Mytilus edulis: one gene and its partner. The protein of the gene in region 2 interacts with the protein of the main gene of each other region in a pairwise test. Links are inferred from orthologs where the notes say so. Each region holds a gene or a part of one and is shown on either strand. Other genes may lie near its edges.

Evidence for each region.
Region 1: the proteins of thyroid hormone receptor beta-like (region 2) and proto-oncogene tyrosine-protein kinase Src-like interact in a two-hybrid assay, tested with the Homo sapiens proteins (2 studies listed by BioGRID). The link is inferred for Mytilus edulis from reciprocal best matches to the Homo sapiens genes VDR and SRC.

What each region holds. Positions count from the first base shown.
Region 1 is NC_092344.1:80,769,471-80,780,773, reverse strand, and holds the start of proto-oncogene tyrosine-protein kinase Src-like, read right to left. Parts: upstream 5,290-11,303; 5' UTR 5,135-5,289; intron 1-5,134. UniProt on the Homo sapiens protein: Non-receptor protein tyrosine kinase which is activated following engagement of many different classes of cellular receptors including immune response receptors, integrins and other adhesion receptors, receptor protein tyrosine kinases, G protein-coupled receptors as well as cytokine receptors.
Region 2 is NC_092347.1:5,670,369-5,681,798, forward strand, and holds the start of thyroid hormone receptor beta-like, read right to left. Parts: upstream 4,389-11,430; 5' UTR 4,120-4,388; coding exon 3,908-4,119; intron 1-3,907.

The DNA.
Region 1 (11,303 bases), on a different chromosome or scaffold from region 2:
TTCGTATTACTGTGTGTTTTTCATTCTCTATTGGCTAGAGGTAGAAGGGGAGGGTTGTGATCTCAGGAAGCATGTTAAACCCCGCCGCATTTGTTCGCCTGTCCCAATCCAGGAGCCTCTGTCCTTCTAAGTCTTGTATGATTTTGATTTTAGTTCATTGTTATATTTCGGAGTTTAGTATTACGTCTATAATCACTGAACCAGTACATTTTTTGTCTAGGGGCCAGCTGAAACACACCTAGCACAACTTTCATTGCAACGCTATATATTAAGTATTCCTTCTGTATCATTTCTTGGAACTGAAATAAATCATAAAAGGCAATATATTATCATCATGGCTTTTGCAATCGATAAACAAGAAAGGAAAACGTGTTAAGCTGTATGCGACCGAAGCGCTTTTTCTGGATCTACCTCTATCAGGAACGTCAAAAAGGCGAATAATACTGTATGGTTTACTTCGAGTTGGTCATTTTTCACTGATACTCAGGCACGTAGCTACGTTTACGTCAAAACGCCCGGGCGTACACTTGAATTTTGATAAAAAAACATGTTTTTATATAAATATTAAATAGAATACAAAGAACTGGTTAAAAGTCATTTATAGCCTTGTATTTTTTTCCTAGATGGCATGTAATTGCGAATAAAAAGGACGAAAGTTACTTTTCAACAAAATGGTATCAAATTTTCCATTTTCTGTCAGACTGAATTTTACTCATTTTCCTTATGTTGAAAACAATTCATTATCTACTAAGATTCGATATGTGGCTTGCATTTTTGTCGAACCTGTGACACTTTATGTCGTGAAAACGAGACATACCGATCCTAAAAGAGGGACAAAAGATACCAGAGGGACAGTAAAACTCATAAATCGAAAATAAACTGACAACGCCATGGCTAAAAATGAAAAAGACAAACAATAGTACACGTGGCACAACATAGAAAACTAAAGAATAAGCAACACGAACCCCACAAAAAACTAGGAGGGATCTCACCAGACTCAAGCTAGCGACCAATTCTAGCGACCAATCAAGCTAGCGACCAATTCTATCGACCACTTAAGTTAACACTGAGCATAAACACGTAACGCTCCGGAAGGGTAAGCTGATCCTGCTCCAAATTTTGTTCGTTGATTCATTATTTGGTTCAGTATTCAAAGGTACAAGGATTGTAATTCAACACGACAGACGCACGTTCCGTTTACATAAGATTCATCAGTGACGCTCAGATGAAACTAGTTATAAACCAAACAAGTACAAAGTTGAAGAGCATTTAGGACCTAAAATTCAAAAAAGTTGTATGTGGTTATTTTTTTTTTTTTTTTTAAATATCAAGAACTTCGTCAAACCTTCGAGAAATTTAACAGAATATGGACAGAAACTGTTTATGATCAAAACAAGTATCCTCTAGCATTATGATAATATGTAATCGTCCCGTATTTTATGGAAAAAGGAAATTTCCTTTTGCAGTTAACAACTACATGTACTGTCACGTACTCGGTGAAGTGACTTCTGGGTATCGTACCAGAGTTTACACCTGGATATTGGAAGATGCACCGTTTCTTCGCTTTCTATCTTTTAAACTTATAGTATGGTCTCTGTCACACAATAACAATGTGTGGGACGTTTTTCTGTCTCTAAAAGACCTTGTGTGTCCAGCAACAACCAATGCAAACCTATGCACTATTACACCTTGGCTATATTCAACCTTTGCACTGCTATCCTGTGCACTACTATCCTGTGCACTATCTGGCCTAGTCTGCCTGTGCACTGCTTAACCAGTACTCTCTCTGGTTTATGCTTTACTTGTGCACTTTAACCGCACAGTCGTCTAGGCACCTATTAACCGGTGCGTATGTTCCTTTTATAATATCCCCCTGCAACCTTATTCAGGTACGCAGATAGATTCTTATTCAGAATCTATATAATCTTTATAAAGTGAAAACTATTACCTTGAAGTTCTTACTTCTTCTAGACGTTTGGATTATCCAACAAGTACCCTTTGTTATATATATATATATGGTGGTGTTTAACGACCTTGACTGGCTATACAGCCCTCGCACGGTCGGCTCGGTGCCCGAAGACGTTTGGTGAGCTTTAACATATTTTGATGCCGTGGGTCAGGAACAAGTAGTGGAGGTCGCAATATGTAGGCCGCCATCTTGGTTTTGGTGAGTTGTTTTTGGTTTGTTTACTATTTTGTTGTTTATTCTTCACTAACGGCTGCTTTCAGGGCCAGTTTGGTCAGCTTGGCAGCCCGCTAGCCTCGATGATGGAGTACTGGTAGATGATCTCGGACGTAGTTCGAAAGATGACAGGAAGCGTTATCAGGACCAAAGCCGTGAGGCAGTGAAATGAAAGTCGTATCACCCAACAGCCTAGGATACAGCCCTCGGACGTTAATCGGCATAACACTCCCCATGATACAATAATTTTGGAGTGCATGTTAAATTGACAGCACATCAGCTTATATACTAAGGTTTTGGACCATACCATTTAATTTGGACGATACCATATGTCTTATTCATATGAGTGTTTATAATAACCTAACCCTTAATGCTAAAACGTTTGAATGACGGCCCTTATGTTTACGACTTCCGATCTGAATATTTCCGGGTATGCTAACCACGACCGGTCCGTTACTGATTCTAAATATTATAAATATCCATAGCAATGTAAACAAACAAAACCAAAAACAAAACTTTCAAACATAACGAGTTCGTATAACAAAGTTTCAGCTTGATAAAAGAAATAAAAAGAAGAACACTAGTAAAATAAAACAGGTGAACCAAGTTCATCACATCACCCATGCCTCCAGGAAATGCGTCCCCGCATTTATCGAACACAATTGAGCACATCTACATCAATTGGACATTTTTCAGTCCCAAACTCTATCCGGGTATTGCCTCTGGCCATGCCATTTAAAAACCACAATTATAACCGTTACTTCTTCAGTAGCTAACCACTAGAACAACTCGTAGATGTGTGATCTACCTGACATGACACGATTCCCACTCAACTGTATACCATTGTCTTTGCACTGGAGGAAACGTTAAACATAGACATCAACTTAAACACATCAACTTTATCCTAAGAACCCTTACTTCTTGATTGAAACATGCATGCTGAAAGATTTTTGAGCAACCAATCTTTAACTATGAAAACTAACACGTCAAAATTACTTCTAAATGTTGGGCACTGGGAACACAAAATAGCTTTGAATTATTTATCTCAAACGCTAAACCTTATATAAGAGATTTAAATCAACGTAGTTGATTCCGGTTTAGATAGGTTTAATTATATTTTTTTTTGATAGATGCACAACCTTAAAATTTCAGGATACTGTTATCCCATGTGATGTCTAATATATTTCATTAAAAAAAAACCGACTTCTTCTTTTCATTATTCATTTTGTTATTAAGAATGATTTGAAATATTTCATGCTATTTATTTATAACTAAGAATAGTGCTTACATCAGTGATTACAGGTACCCCTCTTGTCGCCCCTTTATATTTTTGATATTTTAAGCAAACATTTAAAAAATTAAACTTTCAAAAAGTGAAATAATCAAAATTGCACGTTAGGTTTAGTATTTTAAAAGTTTGATCAAGTTTCTAAAATATCAAATTTATAAACGATATTTAGAGTTTTGATATTTTAATAATTTGGTTAAAATTTCAAAATTTCAAAACTTTAACACAATTTGAAATTTTGATATTTTAAAACTTTGATCAAAATTCCAAAAATCTAAAATTTCAAAACTTTTTATAACTTTGAATTGATAAGTGTTACACGGACCGAGTATCTACAGTACACTGAGAAAATGTTTTGAGTTAGCAGCAGACAATTAGGGACACATTAGTTACCATTAACATGGCATTCAGTTCTAGATCTTCAATGGGAGTTTTCGTACTATTTATGTTTGTGTTGGGCATGAGAAAATCATTTAAGGTTTCAAGTACTAGTGTGGTCACTTATACAAGATTAAACAGAATGGTGCTCCATATTAAAATATATATACAAATATTTAGCAAAGCTACATGTACATGCATGACCACTTACACACCATAATGACGATAACAAAGATGCTTAAGGACACTTGATAAACTTTAAAAGTGCATGGACACAGCGCAGTCCCCTATATTTAATAAATGATCTCATCAAGTTGTGCTTATCAACAAACTTTTCCTGTGAAGTACATATCTTGAAAGGGGTCTATTGTAATAGATTCTGCAGTATCTGATAAAAATCGTAACAGTTTTCTGTTAAGCTCACCGACTGTCACTATCTGATCTCTGTCAGCAACATTCGGAAGAGTGGGTGCACAATCCAGACAAGTTCAGACTTTTTTTATCATGCAAAGGATACAATTTGGATCAGAATCAGATTAAAAACAGGATAAATGGTAAAGCATCCTGAACAATATCTGATTGCTGTTGCAATTAAATAAATGTGTTTACAAATTTCCAGCCATTCATGAATCACATGATCTCAATTGATCTAATGTTTAGACAATTTTAATGAGGAATAGTTTAATATCAAGGACATAAATCTGAAGTCAGTATATATATATATGCACCACAATTACAAGTGTAAGCTCTGAATTGTACATTGAACAGTAATATAAAGTCACAATGTGTGATTTAAGCTTTTTAGATTATTAAAGAGAACAACATGAACAATGTCAGGCCAGAGACTGGCAGAGTTGTTATTTCTAGTATGTGTTTATAAGACTACACTAACACTCTGTCAATTTTCATATCTTAGCCAACAAGTTTTTTTTTTTTGTACATAAGCTCAAGCTGATGAATAATTCTTTCAGGCCTAGTCAGCTAACTTAAACTAGTGCAAAGTTTCTACAGGCTTTAAATATCAAATGCACCTGAGACTACTATAATGTGTTATAGTAGTCTCAGAATGCACCAGTACGGCTGTGGCATATTCTCAGGGTCTCTATAAAAATCTATTTTATTTGCGCAATGTCAATTCATTTCAAAGTATTGGGGAAGTCCCTACCTGGGAAATCAACAGGTAATGTACCACTGATGTGTATAAAAAGAAAGTTCATTTATGTTTATATCGTGATCTGACATCAGAGACAAGTGTGAAAACATATTGAAAGTACTCTCTTTCTTACCTTAGGTCTTTTTAAAGTTCGCCAAATAAAACCCTCTTCATTAATAAACAGAAAAATAACAGGAAGAACTTTACCAAAGTGGGTGAAACTTTAACTAGGAAGTAAAACTATATATATCTGTATCTTTTCGATTGTTTGTGGTACTTATCTTTACTAAGGGGAAATAACTCTTAATTTTAGCAGGTGCGAGTTTTTTCCGCGCTACAATTCAAATATGAATAGACAGAAGACACAAAACCATAAAGCAGAGGCGGATTTAGGGGGGACAGGGGGCCCGGGCCCCACTTTTTGGGGAAAAAAATGGTTGCTTATATCATAGGGAATCATTGAAGTGTGACTGGAGCGGGCCCGCTCTTATCTGAGGTCCGACAGTGGGCCCCCGCCACTTATGAAAATTTCTGGATCCGCCACTGTGAAGCTTTATTTAAAGTCGTTATAATGCAATAAAATTACAAGAAAATAGCTTGTTTTAAACAAAATAACAGATTTAAGGAATGGATATATTATGTAACCGGTCACTTGCACAGGGACTCGGTTAGCAGATATTTTTTCTAATCTATGTTTTTTCAGTATTATTCTATTATTCATGATTTGACTTTTGACGATGCGAATTTAAGCATGGATGCAATTTGGATACTCTCATTACAGAATCATTAATGGTTTGGAGGTCAGTTCAGACCAATTTTTCTGTTGTATAGTAAATAATGATACAAAATAATCACATAATGAAAACTTTTGTCAACTGTTATAATAGGTGAAATTTGGGTACCCTCACGTTACAGATATTGATAGTAAACTGCACATGGCTAGAAAACAAACAAGTATTGATGTCAACGTTAAAAACGTTAATAATGTAATACAGGAAATACGAAAAAAAAGATTGAAAAAAATTCGTAAGGGTTCCGCGGAACCCAGTGTCTCGCTTACTTTTGCTGTAAATCACATGCTCAACAATAATGAGAAAAAAATCAATAAAAAATATTTTTAAAAACTTTAACTGCAGACTATATGTTATGTTAACTGGAAGAAAAACTAAGTTCATTTATAAATAAGTAAAATACAGATACACAGGTACAAAATTTCCTTCTAGACAATAGCTGTTGATCATAAACAAGCTTCTGTCTAAGTTTGGTACAAATTAAAAATAGTGTAAGAAAGTTATTAACATTTTAAAAACTTTAACCACCGAGTGAATGTAATGTTTCCCTGCAAAAAAACTAAATCCATTTAAAAGTAAAATACGGAAAAAAGGATTATTCTTTTTACAAAATTTACTTCTGGATACTATTTTAAGATCATAAACACGTTTCTGTCCAAGTTTGATACACATTAAAAATAGTATAAGAAAGTTATTAAAATTTTGAAAACTTTAACCACAGAGTGAATGTAATGTTTCCGAGCAAAAAAACTAAGTCCATTTAAAAGTAAAATACGGAAAAAAACGGAATTTTATTTTTACAAAATTTACTTCTGAATACTATCTTATGATCATAAACAAGCTTCTGTCCAAGTTTGGTACAAACCCAGGATAGTTTAAGAAAGTTATTAAAATTTTAAAAACTTTAACCACAGAGTGAATGTTATGTTTCCCGGCAAAAAAACTAAGTCCATTTAAAATTAAAATACGGAAAAAATGGAATTTTATTTTTTATAAAATTTACTTCTGGATACTATCTTATGATCATAAACAAGCTTCTGTCCAAGTTTGGTAGAAATCCAGTACAGTTTAAGAAAGTAATTAAAATTTCAAAAACTTCAACCACAGAGTGAATATTTGTGGACGCCGCCGACGCGACGACACCGACGCCGACGAAATGTAGGATCGCTATGTCTCGCTTTTTCGACTAAAGTCGAAGGCTCGACAAAAACAGAGACATATAATACTTTAGTGTTATATGTCTCTGAAAAAACATAGATTAAAAAAAAATCTGCTAACCGAGTCCCTGTGGTTAAAATGGCATAGATTGATTAAAGATTTGTATAGTAAAAAGCCAGTCCTTCTTTGGTCATCTTTTCCATGATACGTTTTATGCATAATTAGGAACATCTAGAGCTGAAACACTCATTACCGTATGAACTTGTCGCATGATAATGATGATCCGTGCTTGATGACAAACATCTCTCTCAGTGGTGGATCGAGGGTGGGGGTCCGTGGGGATGGAACCTATCTTTTTTTGACGATCAATGCCTTTGAGTGGTGGACATATGGTTGGAACCCATCCTTGTAACCTTTTAGACCCCTGTCTGTTTCCGAGAGTCTTCGCCATCGCAATCGAAACAAGTGCAGTAACTGTATTTTTTTTGTCGGTAGGGACGAGGGATGGATACATATACCCTACTCATTCCAGTCTTTATTTATGTCAGGGACTTTCTATACTCCCTGTTTATGTTTGATGTTTTAAATGCTTTGTACCGACGAGTTAAGACTTTTTCAACTTATAGTTTTTTTTCGCATGTTGTGCTGTTACACCACCGTCCCAAGTTTGGGGAGATGGTTGAGCGTGCATTGCAAACATGTTTAAGTCCGCCACATATATTATGTACCGTCACTGCCTGTCCCAAGTCAGGAGCCTGTAATTCAGTGGTTTTCATTGGTTCTTGTCTTGTCATATTTGATCATTTTTTAAGTTGTTTTTGCATGGTATAAATTAGGCCGTTAATTTCCTCAATTCAATTGTTTCATATTTTTCATGTCGAGGCCTTTTATAGCTTACTGTACAGTATATGGGTTTTTCTCACTGTTGAATGTCGTACGGTTGCCTGTTATTTCTTTCAACCACTTTATTTGAACTTGGTGAATATTTGTCTCATTTAACAATCATACCACATCTCCTTATTTTTAAACGAAACGAAACAAAATACAGCTGTACAAATATAATTGTTTGAACTTTCAACGGTGAAACATGGAAAATGAGTCGACAGATATATCTAGCTATTTAAAACAACAAAACTTTAAAACAGATTACGTACCCTCAGGAGGATTTCTGTGCATTCTTTGATGTAATTTCAAATTGTAGGTTATTTTAGTTGTTAAAATTCATTATTTATGATACCATTCTTATATTTTTCTGCAAGTTTCAAAAATCATCATTCAGACGTATGAGAAATTTTACCAAAAGTTAAAAGTACGAATAAAGTATCAAATAAAAGATACACACATAAAATATTGAAAGAACACTAGTGTCAGTACAATTGTATTTTAGTCATGATAACAATGGCGGATCAGAAAATGACTACGTTTTTAACAAAGCTGTCAATAACAGCGATTATCAGCATCTGATCTCCAGCCCCATTATCCTAAGTGACAAATGTATTGAGACATCATGAAATACTGAGCGAGGGATACAATCACCAATGAAGTTCCTGACTATAGTGACAGTAACACGAACTTCAATGTTGCAACTTAAATTAATTTGATCTCAATCAACTTTTGATTCTGGTCAGTCAGTGTCATATCAAAGGTACACAGACGAACGTACAACAAAAATTCGGAAAAACTGTCATTGTTGCAATCTGGCATTACGACCTGCTTGTTGTATTTCCTAGGTTCTACACTTTCTACTATAAAAAAGAAGATGTGGTATGATTGTCAATGAGACAACTATCCACAAGAGACCAAAATGACACAAGACATTAACAACTAATGGTCACCGTACGGCCTTCAACAATGAGCAAAGCCCATACCGCATAGTCAGCTATAATAGGCCCCGACAAGACAATGTAAAACAATTCAAACGAGAAAACTAACGGCCTTATTTATGTAAAAAAATGAACGAAAAACAAATATGTAACACATAAACAAACGACAACCACTGAATTACAGGCTCCTGACTTGAGACAGGCACATACATAAATAAAGTGGCGGGGTTAAACATGTTAGCGGGATCCCAACCCTCCCCCTAACCTGGGACAGTGCAACATAAGAACGAACTATAAAAATCAGTTGAAAAAGGCTTAACCCATAAGATGGGCAAACATACAAGTAGACGTGGCCGGGTACTTATACATCCCGACACAAAAAGACGCAATGAACAGATCTGAGAGTACTCGCAGTTATCTGACAGCTAGTTCAAAGCCACTAACAACTAATAAAAAATCATGCATCTAAGAGGGGTCATCTAAGACTAAACTATCAATCCGTACACATCCAACATCCAATGGATTTAGTGTAAAGACGTCATAAACAGCCAGAGAAAAACATGACCTTGTGCAATGCCAAGTTACAGGTATCGACAGATTGTAGCTCCATGAATATGTATATGTATATAACATACTAGTAATATTTAGTTAGCTTTTAATTTACTGATAACAAAATCAATATTTATACCAATAAAAACAATATTTAATGATCTTATTACAGTGTTGAATAGGTAACCTTTTAGAATAAGTTTATTTAAAGGAGCGACAAGTTTACATGGATCATTCTACTATGTTTTCTTTGGAATTAGATGTGGCGGTTAATGCGTGCATACGAGAACTGATCTCAATCCGTTTGGAGTATATTCGATTATGATTTTTGTCATTTTCATTTTTGTATGTATTGTTGGTCTTTTTCTTGTGTTTTTAATTTTCTGTAGTAAATATTTTTTAATATTTTCACATTCCACACAGAGGAAGAGTAGAGAAACCATGCAGTGCCCTTTCATAGATGCCATTGAACTTGAAGACACATTCATGGAATTATCAACATTCATGAACTTGCAGTACTAAAACATAAAGTATAAAATATATATGTTTTTAAGTACATGCAGTTTATTTTCAAAAGTTACTATCATTGAAATACATTTGAAACATCTATTTCGATGGAACGATGGGTCGTCAAAAAAACACGCTACTGATTAAAATTCATCTAAACAACAGATGCAATTTTCAAGTTCAGTTAAGCCAGAAACACATTTTAGTATCTATGTCTCTAGTTAAGTTCTTCAACATAAATCGCTTCACATAGATGCATTTATTTTTTTGTCATTCTCTGCAGAGAAATATATACTACTATAATGTATTATATGCGTCTGCTTCCTGTTAGTTGTGTGTTTGAACTTCATAAAAAATGAAAGTTAGAATAAATGTTCAGTAACCTACTAAATCTTACCAAACTCTTAATTGACTTTGAAAAGAAATGACTTATCAAAAATGTGCCATTCCTGTAAATCTCATCATTCAAGTTATCATAAAAACGCAGGACACTAGCTTTGAAATCCCCTCGGTAACAACTTCCGTCATGTCCAAAGATAACAGGAATTAATTTAATAAAATTGAGAAAGGAAATGGTGAATATGTCAAAGCGACAACCACCCGACCATAGAGCAAACAACAGCCGAAGGCAACCAATGGGTCTTCAATGTAGCGAGAATTCCCGCACCCGTAGGTGTCCTTCAGCTGGCCCCTAAAATATGCATAATAGTACAGTGATAATGGACGTCATACTAAACTCCGAATTATACACAAGAAACTAAAATTTAAAATCATACAAGACTAACAAAGGCCAGAGGCTCCTGACTTGGGACAGGCGCAAAATTGCGGCGGGGTTAAACATGTTTATGAGATCTCAACCCTCCCCCTATACCTCTAGCCAATGTAGAAAAGTAAAAGAATAACAATACGCACATTAAAATTCAGTTCAAGAGAAGTCCGAGTCTGATGTCAAAAGATGTAACAAAAGAAAATAAATAAAATGACAATAATACATAAATAACAACAGACTACTAGCAGTTAACTGACATGCCAGCTCCAGACCTCAATTAAACTGATTGAAAGATTATGTCTTCATCATATGAATATCAGGTACAATCCCTCCCGTTAGGGGTTTAGTATCATACTATCATAAAATATATGAGAAGAACATAACCCGTGTCATGCCAACAACTGTTTTTTTTAAGAAATAAATGTGTTTAGTTCCGATGCAAAGACCCTATCAGTGAATCAATGTTAAAGCCAAAATATGCAATCTTTAATGACCTGACAACCAACAGTATCGTAACTATATCCCCTTTTAATAAGTCTATTTAAAGGTTTTGTTAGTTTCTGAGGAGAATACTGACATTTTTGTGCTTTATAAAGAATATTTCCATAAAATTTTGGATGTGAAATACCTGAACGTATAAGATGTCTGCATGTTGAGTTATATTTACGAATTATTTCCTTATACCGGTGATAAAATTTAGTAAAT
Region 2 (11,430 bases):
GACAAATAATACTCGTTTTTAAAGCATTACTCTATACCAAGACTAATAATTAGATTTGATATACTCAGTATTCTCCACTAACCATCTCTGTGGAAACCATATCTCAATATCATCAACACTAAAACCTTTAACATTTTGAATTCAATGCTTTTTCTTCAAAAGGTATAAGATAAATTCTTCTAGGTTAACAATTGGGAGTTCACCCCCCCCCCCCCCCCCAAAAAAAAATTAAAATAATTGGCACCTGAAAGATACTATTCTACGTTAACTAAATCAGCCCTTGAAATACATTTTTATAACTATACATTTGGCTGTGTATTAACCACCTCAAATTAGCACTTTTTACTTCGAGCCAATTCTTGGACAACACCTCCATACAATCAGCACCTGCAAAGTCCCACTTATCTCAGTATCTGCCTACTCATGTAAATAGACCAAAGATCATGTCTTTTTCAATAGCGAAAGAGAAAAACACATGTAAGAAAACTTCATTGAAAATAATAATTCAGTACAGTAATAAGAGAGTACTAACTTATGTTATGAATTGACTATTTTTATGACTTTTGGCTCTAATTTTTTATTGAATACTTCTAAATGTGAGAAACATCATTTTATATATGGATTTTAATGGTTGTTGTGGTATTAAAATAGCCAATTCAAGAAACATCAATATGAGAATTCTATTGTTAAAAATATTTTTATATTTCACATTTCAATGAAATCTTCTTCCATAAAATTACCAATGTTATAAATGAAAAATTTTATGATTTAATTTCATTGGTGATAAATTAAATACCCTTGACATATTTTTAATGACATCATCTGTTTTTCAATACTTGACTGCTGACGTTGGTACAGTTTAGTCATTTTCTGCTCAAGTAATCATGGAAAAAAAATTAGCCACACGTTTTGTGACGAGTAAACTGTAACTTGAAATGATACAATAAAACACCTCTGTATCTTGTAGATATCTAAAAATAAAGATTTACCAAAAACATTTGATCTTCAAACCATCCCTCAATATTTTCTATTCATATTCAGAACAACTAAAAACTGGTATACTAATCTTGTATCAAGTGTATTAAAGCTTTTCCTTATTTTTTGATACAAGTATCCTTTTCCCGTTAGGTACAATCATTAAGACGATCCTTAATAACTTTGCTTGATTAGACACTTTTTTTAAGTTTAAAAAAATGTTTTATTTACTATATTGAAAGCAAGCTACTGTAGGCTGGTCTATTTTACTTTTAACTATATTCATATATAAAACATGTTCTTTTTTAAATTTTTGATCTATTATTTCAATGTTAACACTTTTTTGTTTCAAATATGAATAGTCTTTTAACAGCTCTCATTTATGGGAGCATTGATTTTTGTAGGGGTCAGCTATTTTTATATTTGTGTATTTATTCCAATGATAAATAGAGATTGTCATATGTTAATGTGTATAAGGTGAGGTACATGGTAAACTTGTCAAATATAAGAGTGTAAAATGTGTAGTAAGTCGCCATCTCATGTCCCTCTAGGCTAAAACAATACACGGTCGGATTTACATGGTCGATGGACTTTGTATGTAAAATGTATTCACTACTGAACATTGATAATAAAAATGCTAAACATCATTTTCCAGGCTGACAAATTTTCTTTTTATGTTTAAAACAGGATGTGAAAACGATTTTTTTTTACTAAAACATAGTTATCTGCCCTTTGTTGGCAATATTGTTAAATTTTCTACATGTAACTTATTCACTGCATATGGTACAACTTCTTGTGACATTTGCTATCATTTATTTGAACTTCTTTGCATAAAATTATCTCTGCTTGTAATTTTAATTGTTGAAAAACTTGTTTTCACAATTAATAAGTTACTAAAGCATATCAATTTCACAAATGTTACCAAGTTCACCAAGTTTCTAGCATTGGGTTCATTGAAAAGTTGCACTTGTTGAAAGTGGCTTATATTTTAATTCCTCTTCTTCACCCTTTTCAAACCAACTAGAAGATAACACCTATTGAAACAAAAGCCTAAGTTATTTAAGCAGAACAAGACTGTGGTTCCAACATTGGAAGGGGAGGAATAAAAGATCACAAAAATAAGGAGTGTCATGATTGTCAATGAGACAACTTCCCACAAGAGAGCAAATAACATGGAAGTTAGCAACTAAAGGTCACTGTACAACCTTCAACAATGAGCAAAACCAAAACTGCTTATCAAGCTATAAAAAGCTGATTTACTGTAAGGAATTAAAGGAGACATAGGGTGAATAAAGATGAGATAGCAGCCCATCAAGTTAACTGTCTGATAAACTGTAGGTTTTCAGTGGATAAGTCTGGAATAACAATAACTGAATGAAGACCTAGAACATATACATATTATGCATCTATAGACTGCAGATAAAGTCAAGAATACTATTGAAATTCTAATCATGTCTTTTTCTTCCATTGTTTCACTAAATGATATCAATTTAAATCTATCTGTCTCTATTATAAAACATACAAAGGGATTGTCTTTTAGTCTTGAAAAAAATCAACTGCATTATCTAACAAACTTATTAATTCTGCTATAAAATAAAAGTGCAAAAGTTTATTCCAAAAATGGCAACATTACATTTGAATACAATATTGATTATGATGTTAATGCTATTTAAAATAAAAACAGCATTTGAAAAGGTCAACTTTTAGCAGGAAAAAAAATCAATTGTGTTTTTTTCTACATTTTTTCTAAAAATTGCTATTATATTCTAATACTAATTGTGCCATTAGCAGTCAGGGGTTTGTGTGGGTTAATAGGTTTAAATTTTATGTGAAGAACAGATTTCACCAGAAAATGAGAAATTCATAGATTTGTACTTTTGAGGTGAATCCATTACTGGAGAAAACAAGGCGTTATATATGTTTAATTGGAAGTTAATCTAAACACCAATCCTATGTTCTATACTTTGTTCATAATACTTAATCTACTCTGAGACTTTTCTGTATTTTTTAACTCACTCCTTTAAGTAATTTCGTCAAATTACAGACAAATTAAAAATTTGATTTGCTACAGAATTTCATTTGGGACAATGTTTAGAAATTACATTTATTTATTTACTTTTACAACAATGGTAAATGTTCATATTTCTGAATGTTCCTAACTTTTTATTTGGGGTTCCTGTGAACTTTAATAGCTCTGTTTCCACCTTATTGTTCATGTGGCTCCAGACTCGAGGTTTTAATTTGATTATTCATGTCAATATTGATAAAACATGTTAACATACAGGACAAAGACATCTTTATTAAGACAACTGCATATTAAATTTTTTATTGAAATTTCAAATTCTTTACCAACAATCTGAATAGTGAGGGTAAATTTGTAATGAGATAAGCAGTATAAGTTACAAATAATTTTCCATTTCCCAAGATGACCTTTTGAGCTATAAAATCTGCAAATATAATAAATATTTCTGTTCAATTTCAAAATGTGAAATTTTAAAATTTATAGTACGTTTAACATTTGAAATTTGTTAAAAGGTAAATCCTTATTTATACAAAAGATTTAAAGATGGCGCAGGACGATTATAACAAAAATATCAAAAACATATGATTCAGTTATGAAATATTCATATTAGTAATCAATTGATAGAATGAAAACAAGATTATTAAATATTGGGAAACTAAATAAATTACTAAATTAGAAAATTACTGCATTTATTATTTACAATAAGCAATATGTTTCATGCCACACGATATGTCAATATCTTTAATTAACTGTATCCTCTATTGAAACATATTTATTACATAAATGCGTGATCATCAAAAAAGTTATAAAAACTAATCCTGAATTTTAACACAAAAAACAATTAAAATTTACATAAATTTAAAAGAGAAATTTAACAAGAAGGTGAAGATCAATCATACTGACACTTACCACTTTACAAACAAGTCACCGAACAAACAAGTAAAAACATCGCTTGTCTGATCAACCCTTGGTCTCATATACTGAGAGTACTGGGCCTGGTGATGATGAGGAGGGGGAGGGGGTGGTGGTCCGTACCCCGCCATGTGATGGTGGCCTGGATGGTGTCCAGGGTGGCCATGATGAATAGGACCGTGTCCATGCCCATTGTAATCCGTAAACATAATGTTAGATATATAGATCGACTTCCTTTGTTAACAATAACTAGTTGTAATCCTCCACATTGGATAAAAAGTCAATGTCTTCTCACAATTAATTAAAGTTTTCTCTTAACACTATTATCTTCACCGATGTCATTGTTAATGTGTGAGTAAAAAATAAATGTGGTGTAGAAACACACATTTAACTAGGACACAGTTCACTTAGGTTCACACTTCACTCATAAATGGGGTTTATGCAGTACTCTATAACTGTTTTAGTAAACATAGCATGTAGACTGGGTCGTTTGGTGCATTTCTCTCCCGTTCACCAATCAAATGATGTAAAAGCTATAAATGACATGTAAACTCCGCCCCCAGGACATTTAAGGACATAGTAAACCTGTAGGTTTTTACATTGAGATATCTTAATTTTCTAATCTGTCAAATCAGTTATTGGTTCTTGATTATATTGATGAAGGATATCAAAATTCAAAAAATTTGCATTTGCAATGACAAAAAAAGACAGGCGCTGTTTAGACATCCGATTCATGTTACCTGATGAATAAAGGTAAGTATATAATCTTTTTCTACCCGATGGCAATATGCCAATGGTCATTGTTTAAATATTTACACCACACATAGGTCACCAAGTCCAGCTGATATTAATAAACATAAATAATATAAACAAACATTTTTTTAATATGTTGTGGTTTAGAAAAATATTTTATTTATTTCATAAATAAGGGATATTTATCAATTAATAGTAATATTAGATTATTGATTTTACTTTTATATAAAGATATTGCATTTAATTTTAAAAAGTTAAAACTGTTTCTTTAATGCAAAATCTATATACATTATTTCTTAAATTAATACTAAAAGTTATAGCTGACGGAGAAACTTCATGATTAAAATCTTCCCATCACACAAAACTAATATGAACTTGAAAAGAGTAAACCTATATAAAATATTTCTTTAAAGCAACTTTTTGTTCAAAACCTATGCAGGGTTCATCTATTTTTAAATATTTTGTTATTCTTATTTTTCTGGTTTCATAGAGTTTTCTTAAACTTTTTAACATTTTTTTTTTCTTTTCTTATTTAATTTTTCTCAATAAATCACTTTTCAAATTAAAAAAAAACATTGAATGAAAAATAATACATTGGTACAACTGTTGCATCTGCATAAACAAAAGAACACAAATGGTAAATATTTCAATTTTGTATATTTATACCATAAAACTTTTAAAACTAACCAATAGGACTGTGGGTGTTTACTTTTTCAGGGAAAATCAAAGGTCATTTTGTTCTTAATTTAGTTGCATAATTACAAGCATAAATAGAAGTTAAATGCAGAAATAGGGGAGGGGCAGTTTTGTATTAAATAAGTCAAGACACTATTGATACTCCATCTTAAAGAGCATAAATTTGAGCTTATGATGATGTTTCTAATACACACAAAAAATGGCAGATGAGTCAGTATCACAATAAATTTAAGTCATATAAATAAATACAATTTTATTGTTCAAAATGTGTTTGAAATATTTGCCACTGGATTATAAGCAAAGGACTGTCAATCAAGTTCCAGACTGTTTTAAAGTTTATCAATTTCCAAAAATTTGTATTGCATCAAATCTTACCAATTTTAAAGAGGTATTATGTAAAATAGCTACCAAGTCTTAATATCTTATTCTGTATTCTCCTTCCATAAAATAAGAGAACAAAAATCACAAAATTATTTGTTTCCCGTGTATTCTATGTTTGAATTACAAACAGAACGACCATGACTTTGCCCATCTCCGTGCAAAACACTTGACTTCATATATTTATAGAATATCTAGTACATTTGGACAGCCATCCTGAGAGGCAGATATTATGAAAGGAAAAACTTTTATATGTGATTTGCAATATTATTTGGAGCAGAGTATGCTTATAATGTACATATTATGATTGCATACCCCCCCCCCCCCCCCCAAAAAAAAAAGAGGTATTTTTTTATAGTATTTTATTTGTTGAACATTATTTATTTTTTATTAAATTTTTAAATTCCTTCTTACTTTTTTTAACAAGAAAACCACCAAAAATGTTTCCTTTTCTCCAAACTGAAAAGAAACTGTTAGTGAATTAACCAAATTCTACAACTGGTTATGTGGTACAGTTTATAGTTTAGGAGATAGGGCAACTTTCCCTAGATTTTTATTCCACATCAAACCCAGATTTTTCTAAAAAAAAACCTTCAATCTCTTCTAAAACTTTACAGTTTCATTTGTCTTAGGACTAAGTTTTTTTAACAACTTTTTGCAGTAATTCTGTACAAGGTGACCTAGTGACCTAGTATGAATGTCTATTATAAACTGCAATTTTGATAAATTTTGTCAAATTTTTTTGTGCTTATAAAAATAAGAAAATGACAGTATGATTGCCAATGATGCAACTCTCCACATGGGAGATATAGATAGACTTAGCTTTAATTGAGTTGTTTATCAGATAAAAAATATAGTACCTTTTTAAAGCATCATTGAGATATCCAAATTTAAAGTCTGAACTGAGTTGAAATTCACATTTTGCCCTTGCAAGTGAAACAAATATAGGGGCTACTGTAATGGCCATTGTCCATTTAACTGGTTTTTTTTAAGATACATTTGCACATGCATTGCACTTCCAAAGCCTAAAGAAAACAGCTGATGAGTTTATCTTGTTACATGTACACTGACTGCCGGTCTGGCATTGCTTGTCAACCCATGTGACATTGATTGAGGAAAAATCTTCCAGTCACCCCTGTTCAATACATGAAGTAAGTTACCAATGGTGATTATCCAAGTAAATCCTTACGACAATTATTTAAGGAAACAATATGAAATATTTTATGTAGGTTGTCATTATGACAATGCAGGAAGCATTGTGTATTTTGTAAACACCCCAACAACATTCCTGTAAAAACTCAATTGTTTATATGTTGCTGGAGATAATATCTTGTCATACAGAAATATAACATATATACTGATTAATTTTCAAATATGTTAAAAATTCAGGAATGCACTTAATCACATAGTGGTAGTATTCATCTACCATCATTGAGTCCTCTTACAGCAGGACATTACATATTGAACTGTACCTTCTTAGTCATTGGCCATCATAATTCAAATTCTGTTAATCTCAAGATATATTACCAAATCTTAATTTTTCAAATTAAGTTATGAATAAAAAATATGTGTGTTAATTAATGTCAAAAAGACTGAGCAACCTGATCAACCCCCCCCCCCCCCCCCCCCCCCAAAAAAAAATAATAACCAAAAGACACCTAGAAAGCAACAAACGGTCTTCAACATTATGTAAAACTCCCTTTTGTTAAAAAGCTTACCAAGCATTGAAGTATTTATTGATTCCTGACGCTTTTGAATTGAGCCTTTCTGTTGAAGGTAAATGTTTAAGACACACAACATCTAAAAGCGGTATTTTCATTTTATATTATGCTATCCAAGATTTATTATGTGATATGCTGGCACATCTAGCCCCACACATCTTACTGTGACTTTTTCAGAGGGAGTCAACACCTTATAATGTCCCAAATAAAGTAATATGGACATATAGAACATGACAAAAAGATAAAAAGTAGCTGGCTATCTGTGATTGGTTGTTATATCATTTGCATATTTTTCCAGTATTAGCACTATTATGAATAAATTTTATGCAAGCACAAATTCATTGTAAAAGCATATTATTAAAGACCAGAAATTTATTTTGTTTTGACATAAAACTTTGTGAAATTTTCTGCTAAATCACAAGGTACAGTATTTAAGACAACAGCAATTTCTTCATAAATATTTTATATAATTATTAAAAGAGCCATTTAAGAAAATAATGGCTAAAAATAGCATTATCAGCAAGTTGAGGTAAATGTTCAACAGATGCATTCATTAATTTTTATCCATGATGCATCATTTTGAAATGTTGGAAATTACTGATGTCAAATAACGATCAGATGAACTTTCACCATATTTACACTAAAGTCAAATTAAAAAGTGCACCTTATGCAAAACAGGATGATACTTTTATGGCAATCATGTGCAGGAAGTCTGCAACATGAAAACTGCCAATCAACAATGAAAAAATGATAATGACAATTGAAATTGACATTATAAATGTACTCTTAAGCTTTGTTAATAATGTACATTCATTTTGCCTCAATTCAACATAATTGCATGCAAATTGTTCCTGCACCATTCTGATTGAAAACAGCTTGTGCACTAATGAAGGAGCATTAAATAAGTATTTGCTTAATTCCAGTTATTCCAAATATATCCATAGAATGTCAAATTACACAGTGGGTGTCATTTTAAAGCGCAACAAAGTCTACAGAACCACAATCAACGCTGCACAATATTTAATGTGCAGAAAGCTAGCAAAATATTTCTTTTAACTTTACAAATAGTTGGAATTCTATTAAAGCTTGACAAAAGAAAATAAATATTAAATTTATCGTATAAACCATCTTATTGTTGTAAGAGGAACAGATTGCACTGCAACAGATGCTAATGTGCATTTTACAAAATAACAAAATTAACCTTCATTAAAACTACTAATAAATGTCCTACCCATAAAAAGACTTTCCCTGGAGAAGTACAAAATAGTTTGTAATGGAAGGATTTTCAGTTTGTCTTTGTGTCTCCATTATCATCTGTTACTATGGCAACAGATGTGGAGACCTCAATGGTGTAATAGTATAGTGTCATTAAATGTAATTAAAAAGGGTAATCTTGTTAGGCAAAAACCTGTTAATTTGAGAATTCTTAATAACAGCATCAACTTTAAAGTAGACTAAGGTGTTTCAACATCCATCATCTTTCTTCACTAATTAATTTATTACTATAAATTCTGTTTATAAAATCATATTCACACAGAAAAAAAAATTGTGCAGAGTTGTGTGTGCATGATCTGTCAATTCTGTTGTTGTGTTGAGTTGTGTTCATTCAATTTTGAACATAATATAATTGTTTAACCCCTGCCACATTCTGTGGTTGTTGTTTGTTGGTTGTACATGTATACCATATTTGTTTTTTGTTTCTTGTTTTGAACATTTTATAATACATTTGTCATTTTTAGGCCTTTTATAGTCGATTGTGCTCACTGTTGAAGGTATTATAATGAAATAAATCATTTGGTCTCTCAGGTGGAGATTTCTTGGTTGTTTTTGATGTGTTTAGTTGTGCATTTGTCAATTATGAACATATATAATTTGTTGTTTTTCTAATTTCTTGCTTTCAGTAATGTGTGCATTCTTTCAATTCTGAACATGTATACCGTCATTTGTTAGTTGATGAATTTCTGTGTTTAGTTGTGAGCATTCTTTCAATTATGAACAGGTAACATACTGTAATTGTTACTTTCTGTGTTTAGTTTTTCATTGTTCATGTATGTGCATCAGCCGCATCAAGCATCAGACATGTGGATATGTTGAATTGCACACCACCCAATTATTGTTGTGTCTGAACATTCATGTTTGTATCATTTATATTTAGTTTAATCAAATGTTTTAGACACAATATAAATGCTTTGTACTTAAAATTGGTTAAATAGTAATTCATCCTTATGGTGTGTCAAAAAGTTAAAATACTTGACTAAAGCTTTTGAAAATCTCTTGGTAAACTTGTGCTTTGCAAAAACTCAATAATGTCTCGAAGACACCGCCCCTGCACCTCCATGTATTCCTAATAGAATATATACTATTCTACTGATGATAATCTTAATTTTAATGAACCTCATGCACAATTAGTTCTAAACACTTCATCAAAACTCCAGCCATTCGCTGGCCATGAGAAATAAGCAAGTAAAATAAGGATATTTTCTCATGTTGAAGGCTGTACAGTTATCTGCAGTTGTTCACATCTTAGCCCTTTGATGTAAAGTTGTCTCATTGGAAATCATACCACATCACCTTATTTTATATTCAGTATCATGCAAGTTTCATTCAGTGGGCAAATGCCAACACACATTTATGTAAAAAGAACCTCAAATCTGTGAATATCTTAAGTTTTATACAGCAGGTGAATGGCAACCCACTTCTATGTAAAGTGAACTTGTACTCTGTGAATATCTAACCTCGTACTTAATGTTTGAATGATCCGTAACAACCCTAGTAATGTTGTATAGTTGAGATTATCTACCGAGGGTAATGATGTTGGCTATTATTGCCATGTTTCTAGTAATTCAATCTTATTCTGGTAGTTAGTTAAATTAGATACGGAAAAGTGCAATTCAATTTTGTTAATATAAATGATTTCTAAATAGGATAATCTCTCCCTAAAACATCCCATGACTACTATTTTGTTAACTTTGCACTCTTTTTACGGGCCTGATGAAGTTATCTTATTATCTAGATTCACATAAAACTTGACCTGCCTTTTGCAAAAGAGTTCTCTTAATTTTTGTCATGACCCAAACTTTGAGAAATATTTGATAATGTGAAAACAGTATATAAATACTAAGTTAATTTTTTGAGGTTTTAGGGCAAAAACCTTACATGGCCAAAGAGAACAAATGCATCACATATATATGTTGAACATTTTGTCGTGTCAGGGTTTAAAACTGACTATTCAGTACAAGTTTTGCTTTCTGTTGAAAGCGGTACAGTGATTTATAAATATTTAAATTCCATGTAAATGGTCTCAGGTGGATAGTATCATACCACATCTAATTTTATTCAGTTCTCAGATAGGGCAAGTGACATTCCCAGCTAAAGGTTTATATTCCCAGAGCCAAGGGTCTTGCTCTTTGTTGTAATGTTCCCTTGCTCATTGTGGTATTCTAAAAGCAATCACTAATATAGGTCAATTAGGAATGTGCATTCAACACTTACAAAGTAGCCAGGATTTGCTAATATGATCCCACTTTGATAAATTATGACTAGGCAAAAAAAAAAAATATCCTTTTTTCTTCTGATACATTACCAAGACATCTCATAAATTTTGTTAGTAGACCTTACAGCTCTTATATTGTATTTCCTCACAAACATAATTGCTAAACTTGTACATTAAATCAAGTGTCTTCATAATGGAAATGAAAGGATATGTTCAACTGATATGAATTTCGGTCATTCCTCTTTTTACCTGTATTTTCTCTGTTCTTCACCTTGTAGGGATAAATAATGGCGTATTTACATATAATAGACCTAACAATCAGTCTTGATGATAACCCTTTTGTGTTTTGATGACATGAAAGCGGACAAATTGTACTTCATTATAGTATTATAACTAAATCACCCAAAATAATTATATCCAGAACCATTCCTCATTGTTAAATATCAAATGGCCTTGGTATCAACCCCAAAATATTCTAT